4 linked regions of the Arabidopsis thaliana genome follow. The protein of the gene in region 4 interacts with the protein of the main gene of each other region in a pairwise test. Each region holds a gene or a part of one and is shown on either strand. Other genes may lie near its edges. The genes, in order: AT5G54580, AT3G15160, FKBP12 and AT1G09660.

Region 1 (4,928 bases), on a different chromosome or scaffold from region 4:
GTAACGTAGGTCCGCCACTGAGTCATCTTGTTAAATTTTGTTTTTACTAATTTAAAACAATAAAAATATTCATGCCCTCATTTTCTCATTAATACCACGACTTTATAGTTTATAGTTTATATATTAGTAATGATATTAATCAGTTTGTTATGTTGCTACTTGCTAGGTGTCATGGGTCATCATAAAATATATTGATGGAAGATTGATTGATTTGAATCTATAAACCTAACCCACACGATCGAATCGAATGAGAAATAACAAGAATCGTCCATCGAAAAGAACTTAATCAGAAACGTTATCCGATTAGAAACATTACCATTTGATTAGTTTATGCAGTTAAGTTTGACTTGTGCCCACTCCACAAACTTGGAAACAAGAAACATTTGTACACGTTGCGGTCGACATTTGTAATTACAACTAACTTTTCATTGCGTCTAAGGATTATAGATCACAATCAAAACAACAAAACCTATCACTATTACCATTATAAGCTAAGAACACTCCAAAAATGGGTACCGTTATGATTTTGGAGTAATATGATGAGTTGTGAAATACAAATCTGGTTGCATGAGAAAGAGGGAATTGTCTCACCAAACGTAATTGGACAGCGAAGGAATGTTATTGTATGAACGGTATCTCTTTGTATGTTTTGTTTCCTTTTTTGTCTTTATAACATTTAGTGCATAAATTTATGTAAGCCATTAGTATTTGGGATGATATTTCTTTTTGTTTTTGTTCGGTCCACATGTTGTAGTATACAAAAATGTTCGTAGAGATTCTAGACAGCTCCACGTGAAATTGTGAGAACTCAATGCTGTGGCCCAATGACTTATTCCCATTTGTTATAATCATCACTTTTAATGTTAAGTAGTTGCATCTAAACGAAAATTGTGAGTTATTGATTGGCTAATGGCTACGGACCCATTGGGTTTTTGAAAATGATCATCTAGATTGGTGGTGCCTAAAAAATTTTGGTTCACAAAATGAAATCGTAGCAAAACAAAACTCGAAGCATATATACTGAAAGATTTTAAAGTCGACCAAAAATCAACAACACTAAAACCGGATCTGAATTTCTCAGAACCCGATCAATCTCATTACATACCGGTCCAATCAATTAAATCACAAACAACAAAACGATGACGTTTTAAGTATTTCCGAGTTAACCATGTAAGCAAAATCCTCTTCCTCTTAAAAAACTATTACACTTAATACTTTGGTTTTGTAAATGACAGTTTCTGATTATTCCTTCAAAATATAATTTGAAGTTTTTAATCTTCTAAAGGTAATAACACGAGACGAAGCACAACACAGTTCGATCATAGAAGAGGATAGAATGAAGCATAAATATGAATATAAAAGATTCATAAGAACCGAAGAAAACTGTTTCTCTAGCGGTTACCATAGTATGGAGGACGAGACATGTTGTTCTGAGGTTGATATGACTGTGATTGCTCTCTCGGTCTTGCATACTCTGCGAATATGACCCAACCGTCAAGAAACTGCAGAGAAGCACAGAGAGGAGATTAGCCGTTTGGTAATTGTCAGTGTAAATCTCTCTTAATAGATTATGATATGGTAATCGAGAAATGGATATTAGAATGAATAGTACCTTCCCGTCCATTCCAGCTATGCCTTTGGCAGAATCTTCTAAAGTGGCATATCTAACAAATCCAAACCCTTTGGAATATCCTGATACTCTGTCTGTGACAACCTTAGCTACAAAACCAATAGAAGAGAAAGGAATCATAACAGTTAGTTTTCTTCACGATGACTAGTTTACTGCGCATAAACTTTATAGTGTCGTTATAAGATACGCACCATCAGCAACTTCTCCAAACTGAGCAAAAGCAGTCCTTAGTCCTTCAGAAGTGGTGCGCTTACTAAGCCCTGAAATATTCAGTGACACAAAGATAAAGATAACATGAGAAGAAGACACTTTCACGAAACTGAGACACAGCATCGAACACATAAAATTCCTTAGATGTATGTATGAGATGTTCAATGGCCATGTGATAAAAGTGAGAAACAGAGGCTATGAAGGAACAATAAGTAATAGCCTAATCAAAATTGCTTGCATCAAAGCCCAATGTTGAGCAGTATTTCAAAAACTAATTGATACTAGGAAGCACTTTACAAAAACAGAAGCCTTGAAGATGTTAGAAACAGCCCACATAGACCCTTGAAACAAGACACTGATCCGGTACACATAGCATCCAAATTTTAACCGAAAAAACCGAATTCTCAAGTAATTGAGTGCAAAGAAACTCTCTTTAACTCTTACAGTTCATTCCTAGAGTTAAGCAATCGAAAGTAGACATTTTTCTGGAAATCAGAACCAAAAATGAATAATTGAACTTATCAAATTCTTAAACACATAGAGTACAATCTTAGTTGATGTTAGACGAACCTGATAATCTAAATCTGAATTCAAAAAGGAAGGATCTTTAAAAAGCATCAAATAGAAACAGACATAGACTCTAACAACGATAAACCCTCGAAATGAATTGAGAGATGAAAAGGGTTTGTTACCGGAGACGAAGAGATTGGTGCTAGGTTCAGCCTGAGGACGAGCCGGTGTTTGGGATTCAGCTTGTGGAGACAAAAAAGAGAACCTTGAAGCATTTGAACAGAACAGTCGTCTCAAACCAACCGGAGCTGAAGCTACTTCCGTCACAGCTCTAGATATCGCTGGAAGTCTCATAGCCATCGCCATAGATTCAATTGATTGATTTGAGTCGTATTGATTCTTCTTCGGGAAAAAAAGGTTTTAACTTTGAAAAGCTAAAACCCTAAACCAAAAAAGCAGAGAACAAACAAAATCGATTGATACGAAAACGAGTAATTTACTAGAGTGAGAAGATGACCTAAAAAAAAAAAATACTGACATAAAATGACGGATATACCCTTGTATTACTTCAAAATTTCGGAATGGATGGACTAGTGATAGAAACTTTACAATTCTGATATTCGTAATTAATGGAATTCGCCAATGTGCAGCTCCAATTTTCGATTTTTTTTCATTGGCACGTAGAAACGTTTATGAGTCTTTAAATGGTTACCAAATTGTTTTTTGGACTATCACACAAAATACTTCAATATTTTATGAAATTTGACATAAAATTTCACTAAATGACCATTTTATTTTTTTAATGGCCACTTAAAATTTGTTTTGATTCTTCTAAAAATCCACCAAATGACCAGACGTCTTTTAAAATCTCTCAAAATCTAAAATCCACAAAATCTTACCTAAGTTCAATACACCCCTTTTTTTTTGTGATAAGTGTAAACACACAAAAAATAACATATATAAATGGATATGGATGCTAACATAAAAGTTCACATTATATTTATATATTAATTTATTAACTCATCTCAAAATAAAGTACATAATATATTATTCAATCTATGAATTTAATTTGATTATCATGTAATTTGGGGTTACAAATAACAAGACTATCAAGAAGAATATCTTTAAAAAAAAGACATAGGTAGTTAGGTGAATCAGTGTCACTCAGTAACAAACTTTTTTTTTATCTTAAGAGAGTAAACAACTTTAAAAAGTTTTTGGCACAAGTATAAGAAACGTGTGCAGTAAAAGTAGAGAGAACAAATGTCAAAACCAAAGAAAAGCCTTCAAAAGACGTGAGCTTTTGTTTTGCACTCTTCCTCTTTCTTCTTCAACTTTACAAATTAAAAACACACACACACCAAAACTCCATTTTCTTGCCTCCAAATCTTTCATTCACCATAAAATTCCATCCCCTTATCTCTCTCTTTCTCTCACTTTCTCTATTCATGCGACCCAAAAAATGGAATCTTTAATGAGACTCGTCTTAGTTCTGTTTCCGTTCTTCGTCGTCTTCTTCGTACCTCTTGATCACGTTTCTTCAGAATCTATCAGCAGAGCAAATTTTCCAGATGGATTTGTATTCGGAACAGCTTCTTCAGCTTACCAGGTGACATTCTTCTTCTTCTTCATCTTCTCCAAACTGATCCAACAAAGAAAGAACGAAGATTTTGACAATCGCAACATTTTCTTGCAAGAAATCAGTTCGAAGGAGCTGTGAAAGAAGGAAACAAAGGAGAAAGCATATGGGACACTTTCACGAAGGAGAAACCAGGTATCAAAGAAACAAACCCAGAAAACATCACGAAGGTTTTAGTTAACTCAATGGTATCGTTCTTGATCAACAGGAAAGATACTGGATTTCAGCAATGCGGATACTACGGTTGATCAATATCATAGGTTTCACGTAAGTTTTACCTAACAATTACAAATTTGTTGACTTAAGCTTGAAGATAAAAGTAGGGTTGCTTCTTGACAGAGCAACCTCATCCAAACAAATCTAAGATAAGACGCAACAGGACACAAATGAGAGAATCTAAGAAGCAAGAGCCTTTCTTTTGTTTTGTTGCTATCACAGAATGACATAGACCTGATGAAAGATCTGAGAATGGATGCTTACAGATTCTCTATATCTTGGTCAAGAATATTCCCTAGTAAGTCTATTTCATTCAGCTGTGATATGATGAGTAATGTTGTGCGTTTCGACGGGTCTATTTAAACTCTGGTTTTAACAGATGGAACAGGGGAAGTAAACCCAGATGGAGTTAAGTACTATAACAGCCTAATAGATGCTCTTTTAGCCAAAGGAATCAAACCTTATGTGACATTGTATCACTGGGATCTCCCACAAGCCTTAGAAGACAGATATGAAGGATGGCTAAGCAGAGAAGTGGTGTGAGTATATGATATTTTGATAAAAATGTGAAATCCTGATATGGTGAGATTATTACGAAATTAAAAAGCTAAATAAATGGTGCAGGGATGATTTTGAGCATTATGCATTCACCTGTTTCAAAGCATTTGGAGATAGAGTGAAGTACTGGATCACTTTCAATGAGCCTCATGGGGTATCGATCCA
Region 2 (7,029 bases), on a different chromosome or scaffold from region 4:
CGGTCTCACAAATAACTCTACCTATTATTATTATTTTTTCCTATTAAAAAGGTCAAAAACTTTTGATGCAAAAAAATTAACAACTTAATTTATGGTCCGACCCGTCATGTGTTTTGATTTTTTTTTGGTTAAAAACCTACACGATATGTTATTAAGTAGACGAAAGAAATATCTCAGGAGTTTCATTTTTGTTTTTGAGAAAACACACACGTTTATTCAAGAAAATTCATTGAAACAATAATAAAAGATCAATGTCAGCTGCTGATTTTGTTGGGAGAAAGAAAGATTAAAATAGAAGGTCATAAATGACGCTGAGGATCAATAATTATGGATTGTTGTTTTAAAAACCAAGAGAGAATTAATACAGAGAAAAGAGAGAGAGTTAAAAAAACTCGCGTATCAAGAGATTTTTACACACAGGTGGCGACAGAGGTCGAGTGACGTATGTGTGAGTGAGAGTAGTGTGGTGGATGAGAGAATCATCTCCGCCGACCTCCGCCCTGAACCCTACGGTGTCGTTTTTCGAGTCTACGGCTAAGTTCCGGACCCACCCACAGTTTTTCTTTTGGCATTTTCTCATTCGGAGCTTGTTAGAAAAGTGGATCAAAAAAAGAATACGGCGAGAGAAAATTCGTCATAATTGGGTCGGACTAAATTTTCTTTTGTAAATTTCTTCCAAATTTAAACCGGATCCAACCGGGTCTGATTAAGAATTTTGCCAAGTTTGAACGAACCATAGTCAAGAAGGTTACAAAACTACATCTGCTAGAAAAAAAAGAGATGCCGATGTATACAAACACAAACACCTTTGAGTTTCACTATTCACAATAAAACACAATTTAAGAGACTTGTTTGTTTGATTAGTTTTTGGGGATGATATCGGAGAAAGCAAAGTCATGGAATGGAGGACCTGCAAAAAACAACGACACAACGTTAGATCTTTTCTAAATCCAACCACATTATCATCTTGTTGAATTTAACTTTTAACAGAGTGATGAGAAGAGTCTCTTAACCTCCTTGTTCACTAAGAATGTGAAATGGAATGTGTGCAACCATTTTTTGTCCACCCTCGCTCCAGTTAACTGTGCCTGGAAACCGTTTTTCTGAAACCCGTGAAGGTCCTAACACAGACCAACAGATTCCTGGTTCGTTCATTAGTCCTAAGTAATCATGTGCTCGTCTCCAAACCCTTGCATCAGATATCCGAGACTTTACTACCTACACATGTACATAATTGTGGAACTCAGATTCCAGATGTTTAGTAATCAACTAATCATTGGTAAGTGCATTAATAGATTCAATTATTTCCTGTGTACCTTTCCCAAGGCGACGCGGGCTCTTGGTAATAATTCTCGGTGATATGTTGCGAGCTTTGCGATAGCTGTCACTACAAAACACAGAAGTCTTGACTGTGTTGTTCTTCTTGAACCATTCCCAGATTCTTGCCTCAAACCTAGGCGGCTTTTTTGGTCGTTGGAAACAAATAGGGAAAACATTGTAATTACCATTTATGTTTTCTGTCCAAGAAAGCAGATTGATGATACACAAACAAAAGTTTGTAATACCTTGATGAGAGATTCTCATATACAAGCAACTCTAAACTTTCAAAAAGCTCTCGAGCAGCTTCCTTGTGAGATTCTCCCCCACCACCATACTCTCCAATTGCCCAACATAGCTGTAAGGCTAACTCTCTCTACGGAAGAAAATGCTTAGAGGAGATTATCTTACAAAGCATCCGTCTAAATATTAGAAACTGACCTTTGCAACATCATCGTAAGCTTCCCCAAGTCGGTCAATAATAGGCTTCTGTATTATTTAAGAAGTTGAGAATGCATATCTTGCAAATTACTCGAGAAAATAAGCGGTAATCATAAGACTATGTATCTAATAATGCACTGTGAAATCTTCTTATCTAAATTCTAAAGCTATTACTCGCACAAAAAAATAAAATAAAATAGGCAGACATTACTTTCAACAGGGCAATGAAATTTGGAGACCTCTGAAATGCAGCTAGTACAAATTCCAGTAGCCTCCTACGGATCTGTGTACGCAAACAATATCTCTGTAAGATAACGTCCAATATGGCAGTGATACAGGTCTATACACTAAAACGTCAAAATAGCATTGGCATTTCTGAAGAAATATTAATGGACGCTACACTCATATCTAGAGGAGAGAAATCAATAAACATTGTCAATTAGCCTGTTCTAATGATTTTCTAAGGAAAGTCTTCAGAAAAACAATACAGAAGATGCGTGTACCTCATGAGAAAAAATCTTATCCGGAAACATTGTAGAGTTTCTTGTCATGAGTAGAGGGATTAAAGCACAGATCAGAGCTGCAAAAGATAAAGTTGTCAACGGCCTAACTAAGTTGGAAATTGACTTATATTCCTTTAGCAACTAAAACAAACTAGGAAGGCTGTAAATTATCTTACAGTCATTTGCATCTCGCAATGTAACACTAAAGTAGACATCAAGAAGTCGGGGAGCAATCTTAAGAGTCTGCTTCATCCTCTCTGACCGAGGACCACTTGCAGCAGCCTGCAGCGCTGCATTCAATGTAGGAGAAGCGCGGTGTCTTTCCTGCAGCACAAATTTGACAAAATACTTTCAGTTTGTCTAATATATCAGACAGTTTAAAAAACTACCAACTTTCACATAGGCCCTAAATTTTTACTAATAGACAATTATTATATAAAACTGTTTCTGTTGAGTTTTTGGAATAAAGCAAAGCCAGAGGAAGGATGCATACCGCTAGACCATCATTTTCGTCCTTCAGAAGCTCCAGAAACAGAGGATCAGCTACATCTATTGTATTGTTATCTTCAGATTCAGAGTCATCCCCTCCATCCCCGATGGTTGAACCAGTATATGCTTCATCCATAAGGGCAAGAAGCATCTGCATTCACAGGTATCCTTGTCATTCATTGACTATCTAAGAACTGTCATATGGTTTATGTTTTTATGAGATATAAGACCTCCGGAGCTGCACTCTTCTGAATTGAAGCAATGCTACCTCCAACCCTTGACCCCGACCCCGAGCTCCTTTCCACCTTTTCTAATGCCACGACCAATACTAGCAAAAATATTAACAAGAAGATACATAATTAGTACACAGTACACTCGTAAACTCAATCAGGCTGAGAGAATAAAGTCCAAGCATCAATGGAGAAATACCAAACAAGCTCAAAACAATGGAAACCAGTCAGCTTACAAATACATCTTAGTACAGTTGGAGTCATCCAAGTGGTCTCCAAATTAGAGTACAAACAAATATATGAAGTCGAGTAGCATTTTTTAGACAAGCGGACTCACTTGGCAAGTCTACAATGGATGGAAACAGAGGAAGAAATGACCCAGGTGATATCAGTCCTGGAAATATCTTCAGGAAGGACTTCTCCAACCTGAAATTAGAACAAAGAAAATTTATTTCCTTGAGATAATTGTTCAAATCACTTGTGCATATTTTCAGCTTACTTCTCCCAATTCCAGGCAATGAGCTTAAGCAACAACGGGAAAAACTGCAAATACAATTTCTTGAATTAGATAGAGATATAATATATCTGTTATGGCTTAATTGTTCAAGCGGTGGAAATGTAAATGGACACAAATTAAGAAAGATGAAAGCAGAAGGAACAGCTAGATTGCATAAAGCTATAAGGACAGAAAGATACAGTTCTATTACATATGTTGATGCACACAGTAATAACACAATAAATAGAGGCACTTTACTAATTAAGAGAGTAATCTTCTTGAGACTGAAAGCTAAAAGAAAGTTTAAGGATTTATATGGCTAGTCATTCCAGTTAATACCTGAGGGAGTAAGTTTGGGAAAGATGCTAAGAGCTTTCTTTGGTTCACAACAAGGAATTCACAAGTTGCCTCTGCCACAGCGGCATCTGAGAACTCACTACAAAGAAAATCATGATCATATCAGCAAAATTTATCTACATAAACGCATAGTAGCACACATCTCAGAGCACAGAGCCACAACAAGACCCAGTCAAGACATAAAAGGTAGTCCATACCGGCTAAGACATGAGCGGAAGAATGTCCTCAAACTTGGGTCAGAATCGTGCAGAACCATATCCCCAAAATCAAGAAAAAACTGAAGAATGGCCTAAACACACAAACACAGAATCCTTAATACACACTAGAACCCAAAACGTAAAAAAACAAACTTTCATCTGAAATTCTTCAGGGAGAATAATGTACTAGCAAGAGAAGGCCTTTGGACGCCCCTGACTCGGACTGAGATAGTGAAGCAACCGAACGATGGAAGACTTTATTGAATTGTGGATAAATTCTAGCCACAAGATCATCTGATTTCTCCATTTTACAGAACCCATGCAGCTTCTTCACCTAATCCATATACATTCAAACAAAACGAAAGCAATGTATCACTTAATACCAGTCTCAAGCCAATTCTCAATAAATGGACAAAAGATGCGTACTGATTGTAGTATAGATGGATCAGAAGCAGGATCCGTAGAATCCCGCGCGCTGTTGCTTAGGATTCTGAGGTAAAAATCCCAGTCTCCTTCTTGATCACTCATGTTCTCAATCAAAAAGAAGATCACTAGAAAAAATTCATATGATATGATGATGGATGAAGAAGTTTCAGCTTCGGCGACTCCAGAGTCCCGGAGAAAGAGGATTGGAAAGAAGACGACGTCGTTTATTCAAAGATCTATATCCTTAAACTACATGCCATCTCTTCTTGTCCACATGTCGTTTATAGTAGCATAAGACGGCACACAGTTTATCAAGCAAACCCCCTAGACGGGCTATGGATTGGCTGCGGCCTTTTTATAGCTTGTTGCAGCGATACGACATCGTTTGGCCAGTACGACTTCGTTCGGCCGGTACGACTTGTCTTCTTCACGTTTTCTAATAGGATTAATTAACTACGTGTCGCTTATAGTAGCATAAGACGGCACGCATTTTATTCAGCAAACCTCCGTATATCGCAGGCTCTCTCACTCTTTCCGTCTTCTGATTTCTCCCTCCAAAACAAACCTCGGAAGAGAAAATTGGAGCGAAGGAGCGATAGATATGGCGTCGGCGTCCTCGTCTGACGGAGTTGCCGGAAGGATTCAGAACGCTTCTTTGGTTCTTGTCTCCGATAACAGTTCCACGCTTGCTGTGAGTATTTTCGTTCAAACCAAATTCACTCTTTTTTTTTTTTGATGTAAATATAGGTTTCTGAGAAGTTCCTGAAATCTTTCCTCCGAGATGTTAACAGATAGGAGCTTCGGCTTATAATGGGTTTGACTAGTTAGAAGTGAACAAGGGATTTCTAATTTGGGCAAAATTTATAGCCTAGAATCTGCTTTATCTCGTATCTGTTTTTACTTTTATTTGCAGGATATCCGCAAAGCTGTGGCAATGATGAAGAACATTGCAGTTCAATTGGAGAAAGAAAATCAAACGGACAAGGTTGGTTATTATTTTGTCTGATATGAGAGGAAGCGTTTTCAGGGATAAACGCACTTGTAGCCGTTTTACATTTTTTTTTTTTGCTACAATGTAGAGTAGTTTCATTCATCTCCTTGAGTTTTTGTATTGGCTAATCATAAGTGACCTTATCTTAAACTTGTGGGAACTGCCTAGACTTTCTTCTAATGTGATTGATTCTTGGTTAATTGCATTGCTGTAAAACTTGTTATCACGTATCTCTTTCATTCTGACATTGTATTATTGTCTGCTCTTGCCAACACTCTTTCCTTGATGTCTGTCTTTGTTTTTCTTAAATGCTCTTTATATATGCTCTTCATTTTTATATTTTGGGTTCCACAGGTTAAGGACCTTGAAAATTCTGTGGCTGAGTTATTGGATTTGCATAGTGATTGTAATCACCGTTCGACAGCAATTCAATCCGTTGCAAATCGGTACCAACCCGTGGAACAAGTACTCACTTTCCCTCTTTCATGTGTTATCTAATTTCTTATTCGGTTGCATACTTTTAGATGTAGCAAATTGATTTTTACTCTAATGACTGCAGTTAACGGACTTTAAAAAGTTGCTTGATGATGAATTCACAAAGCTCAAGGCTACACCTTCCTCAGTGCCACAAAATGATCATTTGATGCGCCAGTTCAGGGAAGCAGTTTGGGTATGTTTTTAACTTAAAGTTCTTGGCTTGTATCTAATAGGTCTATAGTCCGATTTCCTTTTTAAGTTATTGTCAATGTTTTGCTGCAGAATGTTCATCATGCAGGTGAACCAATGCCTGGTGACGATGATGAGGACATTGTTATGACCAGTACTCAGTGCCCTCTTCTAAACATGACATGTCCCTTGAGCGGGAAGCCTGTCACTGAATTAGCAGATCCAGTTCGCAGGTACAATGGATGTTTCTTGTCTTTTTTCCCTTAACTTGGATGTCTTGTTTTGTTCGGACGATTTGCTTGTCCTCTCCCATGCCTGATGTCTATGTAGGATGATCCTCAAAAGCCATATTCAGTCGATACTGACTTCTTTCTATACATGACCATAAAGCTTGAATATGATTTCATCTTTCGTGTAGCAGTAGAACTAATCAAATAATAATATACAATTGTGCGGTGAACTGATACCATGTCTCTCTGATCCTTTTTATGGTTGCAGTATGGATTGCAGGCACGTCTATGAAAAATCTGTAATCCTGCATTACATAGTCAACAATCCAAATGCGAATTGTCCTGTAGCAGGTAAAATAGTTCTTGCTCAAAAACATCTTTAGACACCATTACTTTGTTCTTTCATGCTGATTTGTCATTTGTATGACCTCTTGAAATCCTCAGGGTGCCGAGGTAAACTGCAGAATAGCAAAGTGATTTGTGATGCAATGTTGAAGTTTGAAATAGAGGAGATGCGCTCGTTGAACAAACAATCTAATAGGGCTGAAGTGATTGAAGACTTCACAGAAGATGTGGATGAAGATTAGAGATCAGACATTTCTTGGACCGGGTTTTAAGCGCTGCAATGAAACAAGTTGAAGCCATATGTTTCACAACTTTTTGCTATTCTTAGTCCGTTCGGTATA
Region 3 (4,683 bases), on a different chromosome or scaffold from region 4:
ATTTTAATAGTACATTTGTTCAGGTGCGGTGTTGTGTGTGTTTCAAACACCCATTGTGACGGAAAAGAATAAAAGCTAACCACTCTTTTTAATTGTTTAATTTAAATTGACAATTTAGCATCTATCTAGCTTATACAACGCCAAAATTAGCTCAATACTTTTGTTTTATTTTTAAAAATATTATGTAGACTTTCATTTATGTTAAAAGTTATTATTCATAAAAGGACTTATGTGATTGGGGAATGTGGGTGAAAAGAAAAAGAAAAGTAAAAAGAATGAAAATGAAAATGGAGAAAAGAAAAAGAAAAAAGAAGCATAAGTGATGATTAAAGAATTGCACGGGAATTTTAAGTGCTTAATTACCCGCACGACTTCTCTCGCGTCTCTCTCTTTTTTCTTCCTTTCTTTTGTTAACTTATGTATCTTGTCTGAAAAAGTTTTTAACTTTAGTCTTTTTTCTTCCTTTGATTTGATATTAAGAACAGTAATTTATACTGTGTTTTGAATTAGAAGTGGTCAATTCAAATTTCATTATGGTTGAGACCATTTGCTTTGGGTCTGATATGTCATTAAGATTGAAGTTTTAGTTTGATTCTTTTGTGCTTTTTATTGGCATTTTGATTGAATAAACAAAACCATTTTAATCAAAATAAAAAAACGGGAATAATATCATAATATAGTACAAACATTCCAACTGAAACACGAGACGGGTCTTTTCTTTTATTTAGATAAAAACGTTGTCCAAGAGTTTTAGAAGAGCAATGACATCACAAAGTTTTGTTGCATAAAGATCCCAGAAGCAATAAACATAAAGGGTTGTTTAATAATCTACCCACAGTTTAGGAGCTGGGGAGATCATTACTGCACGCTCAGTACTTCGATTTCAAAGTCGAGAACAGAGTTTGGCTGGATCCCCCATGCCGGAAATCCACCAGCGCCATATGCGTAATCCGATGAGCACTGCAGAAGCAGATAAGATCGCAAGCCAAAGATGTTAAACATATAACGAAACACCCAAACTATCATGAAAGACAAAAGTGCTTCAACAGAGAGCCATAAAAGCATAGATGGCAAAGAGGAACATGATGAGAGAAGCAGAGTATACATACCCGCAAGCGAGCAACCTCTCCAATTTGCATTCCGATAACGCCTTCATCCCATCCTGTAAGCAAAGTTAAACAATCGAATCATATGATGTTCACTCGCCAAAAAAGAGGCAAATAGGTTCAGAGATATGATATGATTAACCATAAAACAGAGTAAGTAAGTTTATACCTTTGATCACAGCACCTTTACCGATTTGGAACGAGAAAGGTTTTTGTCCCTCGTCCTTTGTACTATAATGATATACCAAAGAACAAAACACAGTTAGGCTCAAGGAAATACCAAATTAAATAAGTCTTTTAAGACGAAACATATTGATTTATAAACTGAGTATGCGTAGATGATAAGAACAAGTAAGTGTAATTATCTTTTTATTGATCCTAGAATCAAAGCTTACAATAAAGAATTATTTACCTCCAGAACTTCTGGGATAGATCACCATCTTTCCCTGCCAAAAAAAACACACACACAAGAGAAATAAGATTCTCAAACAAATTCATTTCAATTCCACACAAGAAACTGGATTATAAGATAAACAAGATTCTTTAATTAAACCTACAAATAGAAAATCTAAACAAGAGATCTATTCGTATGAAGTTTCAGATGAGCAGACAAATAATCTCGCAGAACAGCAAAATTACAGATTAATTATGACCTAAGTGTTACTATCACCACCCAGAATAGAACATAAACCCTAATTAAATCTATTTCACATCATAGAAAACAAACAAATAGCGAGTACGACTACCACAACACATCAAATAGCTCTTCAACAAAGCAGATTTGTATAGATCGATTTAGCCTATCATGGAATTTTCAAAGATATAAATATGCAGAGGAAAGTTACCGAATCCGGTGCAATGGACGGTGACGGTTTGGCCCGGAGCGGGTTTGGGACCGTTGCCGGGTCTGATGACTTGCTTCTCCACACCCATCTCTATATCTTCTCTCTGTCTCTCTCACTGTTTCGCGTTCTTTGCAGCTTCGAATCTCGGAGTAGCTTTTGCCTATATATTTTGTTATTTATCAATTATCATGCTGTTTGATCTAAACCCTATCTGGGCCTAACAATAATCCAAAACCCAATTCGATGAAATTTAGGCCCATTATTTATTCTTTCTCAAAGGTGGATAATATAATACTGTACCAGACCGAATTAAGAAGCAGAATCTAGCCCAAAACTATTTTTTACTTCGGATTCATCAAATTCAAGCCCAGACTTGTAGCTATCAAAATTTCCTTCGCATTTTTGAAAGATACATGGTCAAGAAGACAGAGCAATATAGATACAACGAACCTTCTTCATCACAATTACAGAAAAAATGATTATGTAGATATCATGTTTAGAGCCTAAACGGCTAAACAGTTCCATCATTAATGTCTTAAACAAGCTTTTATGAACAGACAATGGAACCTTCACTGCGCAACTGGAGCGTATAAAAGCCAGATAACGTGCACGAATCACCTCTTGGATAGCTTCTGTATCTTCTAGATTCTGCAGAATACTCATTACAGGTAAGTGAGAATACCTAGCTACTATGACTACACAAAAAAAACTCTACATAGCCGTTTAGGTCTTTACCTTAGACCCCAGCAAGAAATTCTTGACAAAAAGCTTACTTGTTTTCCTTACCTTTCAAAGCATCAAGGATGAATGAAGCAAGCAATGTGTGTTGTCACTTTCCCTCTTCGTTTGTCAGTCCAGAACACAACAAGTTATCTAGTGAATGAACAGAAGCAGCAATTACGACATGGAAACCACCTATGTTTTGCAATTTGCTGCTCTATGGCCTTTTGAGTTGGAGGAACATAATTCTTTTGGAACAAAATGAAACCTGAGCAGGATAAGTAACTCACTTTACTTTAGATAAGGCATTTGGCTAGTAAGGTTTTATAGTCTAATAAACCCGAGAAAGATAATCTTAATGCCTTTACTCAGAACTCAGAAGCAGAAGACTATATACCAGAAAGCGACGAAAGCATCCGAATTTTGAGCAAAATAACATCAACAGATTCCAACTACAGGGATTCCAAGGAATCAAAATGCTAGTATTTCCACTACAGTTAAACATCAACAGGAAACATAAAAGCTAAGGCCTACAACAACGAAACACCCGCAACCTAAACAAAGAGAGGAAAAAGCCTTACTTCACTAAGTAGCCTTGATCTTATCATCTCCAACAACAGAAAGTATGGGCAAACTATTCAAGAATTCATCAAGTCCCTCAAAGAACCCAATCCCTTCCATATTATCTACCTCCCTGTTACTTCCGATCCCATTGCCTGCATTTCCCCCACCTGCCACACCAGGCTCTTCCACTTCATTACTAAACTCCACATTCAAATCCAACCTCCCCAGGTTCTTAGCGCCTGTTCCCATTCGTTTTCTAGTAATATAACTCCCTGGTTTAGACATAACCCCAGTTGAAGACCCAACAGCCGCAGCATTTGAAGCAATTGAAACCGCGTGATTGCTAGCACTACTGATACTTTCTACATTTTGGACTTCTTCAACTCCATGTTTCTTGTTACTTCTCACATATGTTTCTTTCCCTTTCCCAACATTCGTCTTCTTATTCACTTGTACCACATCTTGCCAATCACCATCATCACCAGCGTCATCTCCATCCGAAATCGCAACATAAATGTCATCATCGTCATAGTAAATCCTAGGAGGACCCGGTTCCTTTCTCTTCTTTGGTTCACCATCCAACTTTTGCAGAGGACAGGCAAAGAGAGGTGAAATAGGTGACCAACTTGGAGCTTGAAATTCACCGGAAAACCCCAATGGAAACAAAGCCCATGAGCAAAAGTAAACGTCTTCGTCGTCTTTCTTATCCACCGGAGGTTTTGGTATCGTCACAGCTTGAAACGCTCTTCTACATTCTTGACATTTCAAAGTACATTCTTCGTAAGCCTTAGGGTACTCAAAGAGTACAAAGCAGTAAGGGCAAGCGGTCCAGAAGCTCGTCGCCATAGGATCCGCCGAGGTCCCAGCCTGGCTCTGAGACCGCGGTGGCGGATATACGGCGGTGCTACTGCTAGGTTCCCACTGGAAATTTTGATGCGATTGGGTTTGAGGATGGAATCCAGATTGACCGAGTTGACTAAGTTGCAATTCTCGGTCGTAGAATGATTTCTTGAACGGATCAGAGAGAACGAACCAAGCATCGGAGACGATTTTAAGAGCTCGATCGGCGAATGGGAGACGATTAACGGAAGGATTGAGGAGAAGAGCGAGTCTACGGTACTGAGTCGCGACGTGTTCAGGGTTTTGAGCTAAACGACCGAGTCGGAGAACGGCGTACCAGTCTGGCAAGTTGGAATCACCTAAACGAGTCTCTCCGGCGAGAAGAATGTCGCAGATTGCGAGGATGTAGTCTGCAGCTTCTGCTCGGGTCGGGTCAGCTTCGCATGCGCGGATCGCAAATGTCTTTGCTCCTTGAAGATCACTAGACGCTAGAAGCTTCTCCGATGTTACAAGCCACTGATCCGCCTCCACTCTGTTACCACCACCACCGCCAACTCCGCCGCGTCCGCCTACCATATCCCCTATTTCTTTTTGTTCCCTTTCGTTTT
Region 4 (6,225 bases):
TATGATGTTGCTTTCGAGGCTGACTCCATCGGTCATCCTGTCTGTTATTTCCCGAGTTTAATATCTATTTCATAAAGCTTCTTTCACCATCCGTTTGTTTGTCCAAGTTTGCAACTCTTAAAGCTGCCTATGATTATGTTTCAGATTCTTGTTTTATGTAAGAAGGGCTTGTTTCAACATGTACCAACAATTTTTGTCGTGCTTTTTTATGCGCTTGTTATGCTTCTAATTTATCTCACACAGTCGGATGATGTCGTTTTTCCTTGCATACTTTCAGTGACCACAATATGCTCTAGAATCTTTAAGGCACCTTATAGGTTTCTCAACGATAGCCCAAACTAGGATCTTGTTGCTATAAACTCCCCGAAAACAAAGTCTTAAATCTATGTATCTATTCAAATTCTGAAGAAATGTTAAAGAAATTGAAACAAGGTAACGAATCTCTCCGAAACCACCAATCAAATAACTCAAACAACTATCTGAAGCTTCCAATGACTTTGTTCTGTAATTCAATTGAAATAATCTCCTTTTACATGGCATCAGAATCAGAGCCATAATCAATAAATAATTGAGAAGGAGATTACATTTTCATAAGCACCATTATTAGTTTATTACACACTGGTCAATGGTGAATCTCTTTGTTGTCTAATAGTTTCCGACATTTGAATCTGAACCTTAAATCTCAAAACAAACTGATAATGAATGGTAGATAGACAAATGGAGAAATTTCAAAACTTAAAATGAAATAAACGTTTGGGGTTTAAAACTTAAATAAAGGTTACAATGATTGAGAAGGAGATTACAATTTCATAAACACCATTATTAGTTTATTACCCACTGGTTAATGGTCATCTCAGCTAACCAACAAAAATAAAGAATAAAGTTAATGACAAAATAAATTAATTCAAGAGTCCAAACGTTAGAACTTAGCAAACTCATGATCCTGCCCACAAGACCCATGCACTAGTGGTTTCTCTTGATCATATCTCTGTCTTAGCACGCTTGCTGTTGAAAGGGGACATGCTGGGGCTCAAACAAGGGCTCAAGCTCGGACTCGGACTCTCCTCCCTTAGTGTACCATTCAAAGCCGCTAACTCCTTCAGCTGTTCCCTCTTGTAGTGATCCATTGACTCGTCCTGTAGAGAGAGAAGAATCAAAACCATGTGAACAAAATAGACATGTTTGGACTTTTGTGATAAGAATGTACCATCGGCTTCAGGAGTGATTCCAGGAAATGCACTGCATGCTCCAATCGAGAGTTTATTATGTCTTCTGGAAGCTCGGCCTCGATCAGTACATGTAGTGGCTCGCAGAGATGCTCGTACCCTGGCTTACCTTTTAATTTTTCCTCCTGCAGGGAAGTAAAGAACTAAATGGATAAGCTTTCACACCGCATGGTAGATTGTCAGAGAATATATAAGAGTCAGAAAAAAATGAATTTCAAAACTTTCTCTATTTACTTCTGATGATGTAAGAACCTAAAACTTTAACAGTTTATTTCTTATACAGGCTGCCAAAATTTACATATCTTCAAATGTAAACAAGAGTAGTAGCTGCTGATGCAGTAAAAAATGTATCATTACTTCAACAATAAGCTTGATATGCTAAAAGACGTAAGCTTATACACAAAAGGAAAACAAATTGCTCCTAAAGGCCGGAAGAAAATTGTGCGTATTCAAAACATGGTTATAAAACTGATTAACAGGTAAAAACATGACATAAAGTGAAGTTTTGAACTGTAAGAATAAAACAGAGACAAAATGGAATCCTTCAGAGAATTAATAAACAAGGAGCCATACCTTGACAGTATCCTTCACAGATCCTCGTCCTCTGATAAACACCCTGCAGTGGGTTGCTAGCTCAACTCTTTTTAGGGAGTTTCCACGTGGCCCAAGAATCCTCCCAACAAAATTATACTGCAACGCTCAATGGATTTAAACTCTAGAACAATCCAATTATAATAACCTATTTGGGTAAAGATTTAAGACATACGCTTGGATATTTATCCACTGGGACATCAAGTCTAATCACTTTTTTCACAATGGGTGGGTTAGGGAGTCCCGGCATCCCAATCCAGCCCACTGGGGAAGGACCGCGAAATGGAGAAGCTCTCTGGAGGTGACAGTTTTCCTGAAGAAAGCAAAAGCAATCAATATCGGTAAAGCCCACTCTTGATTATAAAAATTATTAGTATCACCATTACAATTCAACATGAATCAGTTAATTGACTACAACTATCAGCAGTGGCTTACCTCGGCTTGCATCATCGACCATCCCTCTAAATCAAGCTTTCCATTTGTCGGCTGACCAAGCGATCTAAATGGACTGCCATGCTCATATCTATCAAGATCAGGAAAACTAGAGACCCTCCTGATTTCTGCACAGACGTCAGCAATGTTGGCAGTTAAGCAAACGTATAAAAGAAACTGTAAGAGTTATACATCAGGGGCATCTTCAGTCTCTTATCTTTAATGCCAATAATGAAACAAAAGGCTCGGGTTCTAATAGGTTAGAATGATGAAAACTTCAAACACATCTTTGTCTTTTAAGGTTCACACATCCCTTAAGGGCATGATGGACAACTAAAAGCTAGGTAAACAAGTCTGGAAACAAGCTTCTAATCACCATATGCATATTTACGGACAAATAGGCTTCCTAGTATAAATTAGTTGGTGATCATTTGCTTAACGATCATTATCATTTGCAAACACATAGACTTAATTCATTTTCACATAACATAACTCATCAAGGATGATCATTTAGCAATAAGTTGCAATTAAAAACTGTTTCTAAATGCTAAAAGTAACATAGACTTTGATTGGCTATATATATATTAAGAAGGCCATAACAAAGAGAATAAAAAGTTGCATGTAGATACATTTTTGTTACTCAACTATCCTTACCCAATTTCTGTAAACCTTTAACTGGAAAAAAGCCAGGGTGATGCGCACTAAGGCTTTGTTCACGTGGGAAATTTCTTAAGTTCGTGTGCACACACTCTAAGGAAATACTAAATTCAAAATCACATAGCTTAATAAGATAGCTCACCATGATTAAGCAGTCTGCAGCAATTTGGCATAACTTGCAAAAAGGGACCCAACTTTTGTCTCTCTTGCAATAATTCAGTCAAGTACCTGCACAAGGTTAAGAACAAAAAAAACTTAAGTTTCAGTGGATGTTGCGTGTGAATCGAGTGGGTGACATTGGAATCAGCACTCAGTCACATGTAAACTAAGCTTCTAAAAATACATCAGTACGTTCATTTCTAAAACATTGATAAAATATAGCTATCTTGTTAAAATCCTTAAGAGTACATTGTATAGAATCCAATAATAAGTGAGCTAATTGTGAAAAAGGCGACATGTTGAGGTGAGAGAGTATGATCGAGAATTTGGATCTGTGTAAGCAGTTCATGAAAATACAAACTTGACAGAATCATTTTTAAACACTGATCCAATCAAAGGCAACAATACCCACCAATCACAAAGAGACACACTTGAAGTTGTGCTAAAGCAACAAGTCCAGAAGAAGAAACGGGTCCACAACAATCAAGCTAACACAGATTCACAAATAGCAAAAAGGTTGAGAAAGAAGAGAGAAAATAGAAACCTTTCACGATCAGAGGGAGGACAAGGGGATCGATTAGGAGAAGCACGGAATCCAGAAAGAGGATACTGGAAGAAACTTCCAGGAGAGATCCTCTCTTCCATGGCCACGAAACCAGCGCCAGATTCCATCATCTTTAACACTGTAAATCCACTTAGAAAGTCAGATTGTGCATAAAGTAGAGATAAAGAAAAACAGAGAAAAACAAGTTGTGACCGGAGATAGTGAAGAGGAGAAGCGGCGGAGGATCTGACGCCGATCTCAAGGATGAGAAAGGTGTCTTGAAGTAGGTGTGGACTGTGTAGAGTGGCCACAGAGGAAGAAGAAGAAGTAGGCAAAGTAGGGAGGGAGTCAAAAGCCCTACTCACGATGAGAGACTCCTCCTCTCTCTCTCATCTCATTTTCGATATTTTCTATTTTTGTGTTTAGTTTTTTATTCTCTAGAGATTCTGTCATCTTCTTCTTAAAAGGTTCTTTGCGTTTTCATTATTATTGGGCTTCAGGTCACTAATAATGGGCCTACCTTCCCTCAGGGACATTGTAGCCTACTTCCAATCCGTGTAAACTAAAAAAATGAAGATGATGGATTCGAGCCCTTCCGAGGCAATATAACTATTCTTTAATGGGCTTAATTTTTTTTGTTTTGCTTTAGACAACAAAACACATTGGGCCGGGCCTGGTCTACCTAGTACCTTTCTTATGCATCTAATTCATTTGATCCTCAACATGCCAAATATTTATTATTTTATTTATCTCTACGAACTCTTGAAAGGTCATCATCATTCACTTGATTGCATTTGCCTATATTTTTAGTGGGAACGTAGTTAGTGATGTCCCCTGAGCGATGATGTCACCTCAGTGATGTAATGGATGATTTATTTTACTTAAAAATTCTAAAAAGTAAAAACAATGGACGAAAACAAGAATTCCGTCTATAGTGAATCAGTTAGAATATCTGAACGGTGATTTCCATGTTCCACTACTTTAATTTATTTTCTATAAATTATAATTACATTTTACACCAAACGCAGTTTACACACATACTGTATATGATAGATGCAGTCACATATACACTAAGGAAGCTAGTTACTCAAGCCGTGATTTATATACAACTTGGAAGCAAAGAAATAAGATGCTGCATAATTCACAACACATTTGCGCCTACTTCTATCTTCAAGATCCTTGATCGTCTTCCTTGTTTGTATCCTAAATCTTAGCTATTGTTCATGTAAATCATAATTTTCATTAATAGGATATTTACCTATTACTTAGCAACAAAAAAAAACGGCCGGGTTAAATGGTGTAGTTGGAAGTTGGCTACTATAAGAAATGGAAAAAATAATAAAACGCAACTTAATGAAGATTCTGCCGTTTTGCCAATGAGAAATAAAGAAGAAACAGCATAAATCTTTGTTCCCCTTTTTAATTCTTTATCCTAGGGTTCCCTTCTTTCTATGCTTTCTGTTTGTTAGCTGTTCTACACATGTATACTTTTAATTTGCAGCCAACATGAAACTTCTCCTTTGTCAGCACTCAGCCTTACGGAACAACATGTAACCCTAAACAAAATTCTACATGACCTAGGGGATTTGAAACATCCCAAGAAATTTCAGTATATTAGGTAAATGGTATTATTCTACTAGAATATATGTAGTATTTACTTTATCAAATGTATACATAAAAAGGTTTTCATTAACAATCACAGCCCAAAAAAAAAAAAAAAAAAAAAAATCCATTTCTTGGGATGTTTCAAATCCCCTAGGTCATGTAGAGTTTTGTTTAGGGGTACATGTTGTTCCGTAAGGCTGAGTGCTGACAAAGGAGAAGTTTCATGTTTGCTGCAAATTAAAAGTATACATGTTGTAGTACAACTACCAAAAAGAAAGACCTAAAACCAAAGAAGAAAACGGATAGAAGTTCGACATTGGGGAAAAATGTGGGTAGTAGCTAGTAGGTGGTGGTGAGAACAACAATGAGGATCCAGAGACAAGAAAAAACCAAGAAAAAAAGAAAAGTGAGGTCTGCTTCTGCTTTCTCTCTCCGCGCACGTGCGCCAAAAACGCTTTTCTACGATCTTGTATTAACTGTTTGGGATTGTGACTTTTCTTCCTCCTCTGTCCAATTTTTGGAATAATCAAATTCTGGGTCCGCCACTGCATTTACGCATGTTAACTCAAGAAAGTTAATGACAAAGTTCCTAACGACGCCTTCCCTCCAGTAATATCGATAAACCTAACATTAACAATGTACCTAAACCCTCCCAAATCCCAATATCATATACTATAAATTAAGCTCTTGCTAAACATCTTAGTAACCATTGTTCCATATTACATTACAAAACTTGTCTTCTGTCCAAACAAAATTGTATAAGAGTGGAACAAAGTCTAACCAACTTCTCTTCATTGCTCACGCTCACAACTAAAGGAAATTAAACAACATGAAAAGGAGTAGTAGTAATAGGAAGATCCAAGTGTTCATCAATTTCCGGGGAGAGGAGCTACGCTGCAGCTTTGTGAGCCACCTCGTTGACGCTTTTAAAAGACATGGAATCAACTTCTTCATAGACAAAGACGAACAAAAAGGGAAAGACCTCAAACATCTCTTTGCAAGGATCAAGCA

The links.
Region 1: the proteins of AT1G09660 (region 4) and AT5G54580 interact in a two-hybrid assay, tested with the Arabidopsis thaliana proteins (one large-scale study listed by BioGRID).
Region 2: the proteins of AT1G09660 (region 4) and AT3G15160 interact in a two-hybrid assay, tested with the Arabidopsis thaliana proteins (one large-scale study listed by BioGRID).
Region 3: the proteins of AT1G09660 (region 4) and FKBP12 interact in a two-hybrid assay, tested with the Arabidopsis thaliana proteins (one large-scale study listed by BioGRID).

Annotation. Positions count from the first base shown.
Region 1 is NC_003076.8:22,169,120-22,174,047, reverse strand, and holds AT5G54580 (RNA-binding (RRM/RBD/RNP motifs) family protein), read right to left. Parts: upstream 2,883-4,928; 5' UTR 2,717-2,882; coding exon 2,533-2,716; intron 1,891-2,532; coding exon 1,822-1,890; intron 1,720-1,821; coding exon 1,613-1,719; intron 1,503-1,612; coding exon 1,392-1,502; 3' UTR 1,029-1,391; downstream 1-1,028. Other genes in the region: BGLU41 (beta glucosidase 41), read left to right, coding at 3,813-3,959, 4,055-4,124, 4,198-4,256, 4,428-4,503, 4,585-4,744, 4,830-4,928. UniProt on the Arabidopsis thaliana protein: Involved in C-to-U editing of mitochondrial RNA. Functions as minor mitochondrial editing factor. Controls 6 percent of the mitochondrial editing sites.
Region 2 is NC_003074.8:5,102,111-5,109,139, reverse strand, and holds AT3G15160 (AP-5 complex subunit zeta-1), read right to left. Parts: upstream 4,774-7,029; 5' UTR 4,559-4,773; coding exon 4,457-4,558; intron 4,416-4,456; exon of another isoform or gene 4,365-4,415; coding exon 4,218-4,364; intron 4,123-4,217; coding exon 4,031-4,122; intron 3,913-4,030; coding exon 3,816-3,912; intron 3,524-3,815; coding exon 3,480-3,523; intron 3,407-3,479; coding exon 3,318-3,406; intron 3,079-3,317; coding exon 2,981-3,078; intron 2,902-2,980; coding exon 2,755-2,901; intron 2,586-2,754; coding exon 2,438-2,585; intron 2,339-2,437; coding exon 2,262-2,338; intron 2,042-2,261; coding exon 1,970-2,041; intron 1,807-1,969; coding exon 1,759-1,806; intron 1,694-1,758; coding exon 1,566-1,693; intron 1,462-1,565; coding exon 1,317-1,461; intron 1,219-1,316; coding exon 1,014-1,218; intron 911-1,013; coding exon 861-910; 3' UTR 631-860; downstream 1-630. Other genes in the region: HPY2 (RING/U-box superfamily protein), read left to right, coding at 5,058-5,147, 5,370-5,441, 5,802-5,912, 6,007-6,117, 6,207-6,346, 6,612-6,694, 6,788-6,930.
Region 3 is NC_003076.8:25,733,952-25,738,634, forward strand, and holds FKBP12 (FK506-binding protein 12), read right to left. Parts: upstream 2,195-4,683; 5' UTR 2,040-2,194; coding exon 1,952-2,039; intron 1,553-1,951; coding exon 1,519-1,552; intron 1,338-1,518; coding exon 1,276-1,337; intron 1,163-1,275; coding exon 1,110-1,162; intron 961-1,109; coding exon 859-960; 3' UTR 639-858; downstream 1-638. Other genes in the region: EIP9 (Chaperone DnaJ-domain superfamily protein), read right to left, coding at 3,257-4,651. UniProt on the Arabidopsis thaliana protein: PPIases accelerate the folding of proteins. It catalyzes the cis-trans isomerization of proline imidic peptide bonds in oligopeptides. Mediates rapamycin inactivation of TOR protein kinase activity.
Region 4 is NC_003070.9:3,127,052-3,133,276, forward strand, and holds AT1G09660 (RNA-binding KH domain-containing protein), read right to left. Parts: upstream 4,044-6,225; 5' UTR 3,823-4,043; exon of another isoform or gene 3,749-3,822; 5' UTR 3,741-3,748; coding exon 3,610-3,740; intron 3,135-3,609; coding exon 3,049-3,134; intron 2,378-3,048; coding exon 2,253-2,377; intron 2,131-2,252; coding exon 1,993-2,130; intron 1,917-1,992; coding exon 1,800-1,916; intron 1,352-1,799; coding exon 1,208-1,351; coding exon of another isoform or gene 1,154-1,207; exon of another isoform or gene 1,137-1,153; coding exon 981-1,136; 3' UTR 711-980; downstream 1-710. Other genes in the region: AT1G09650 (F-box and associated interaction domains-containing protein), read left to right, coding at 1-75; AT1G09665 (Toll-Interleukin-Resistance (TIR) domain family protein), read left to right, coding at 6,044-6,225.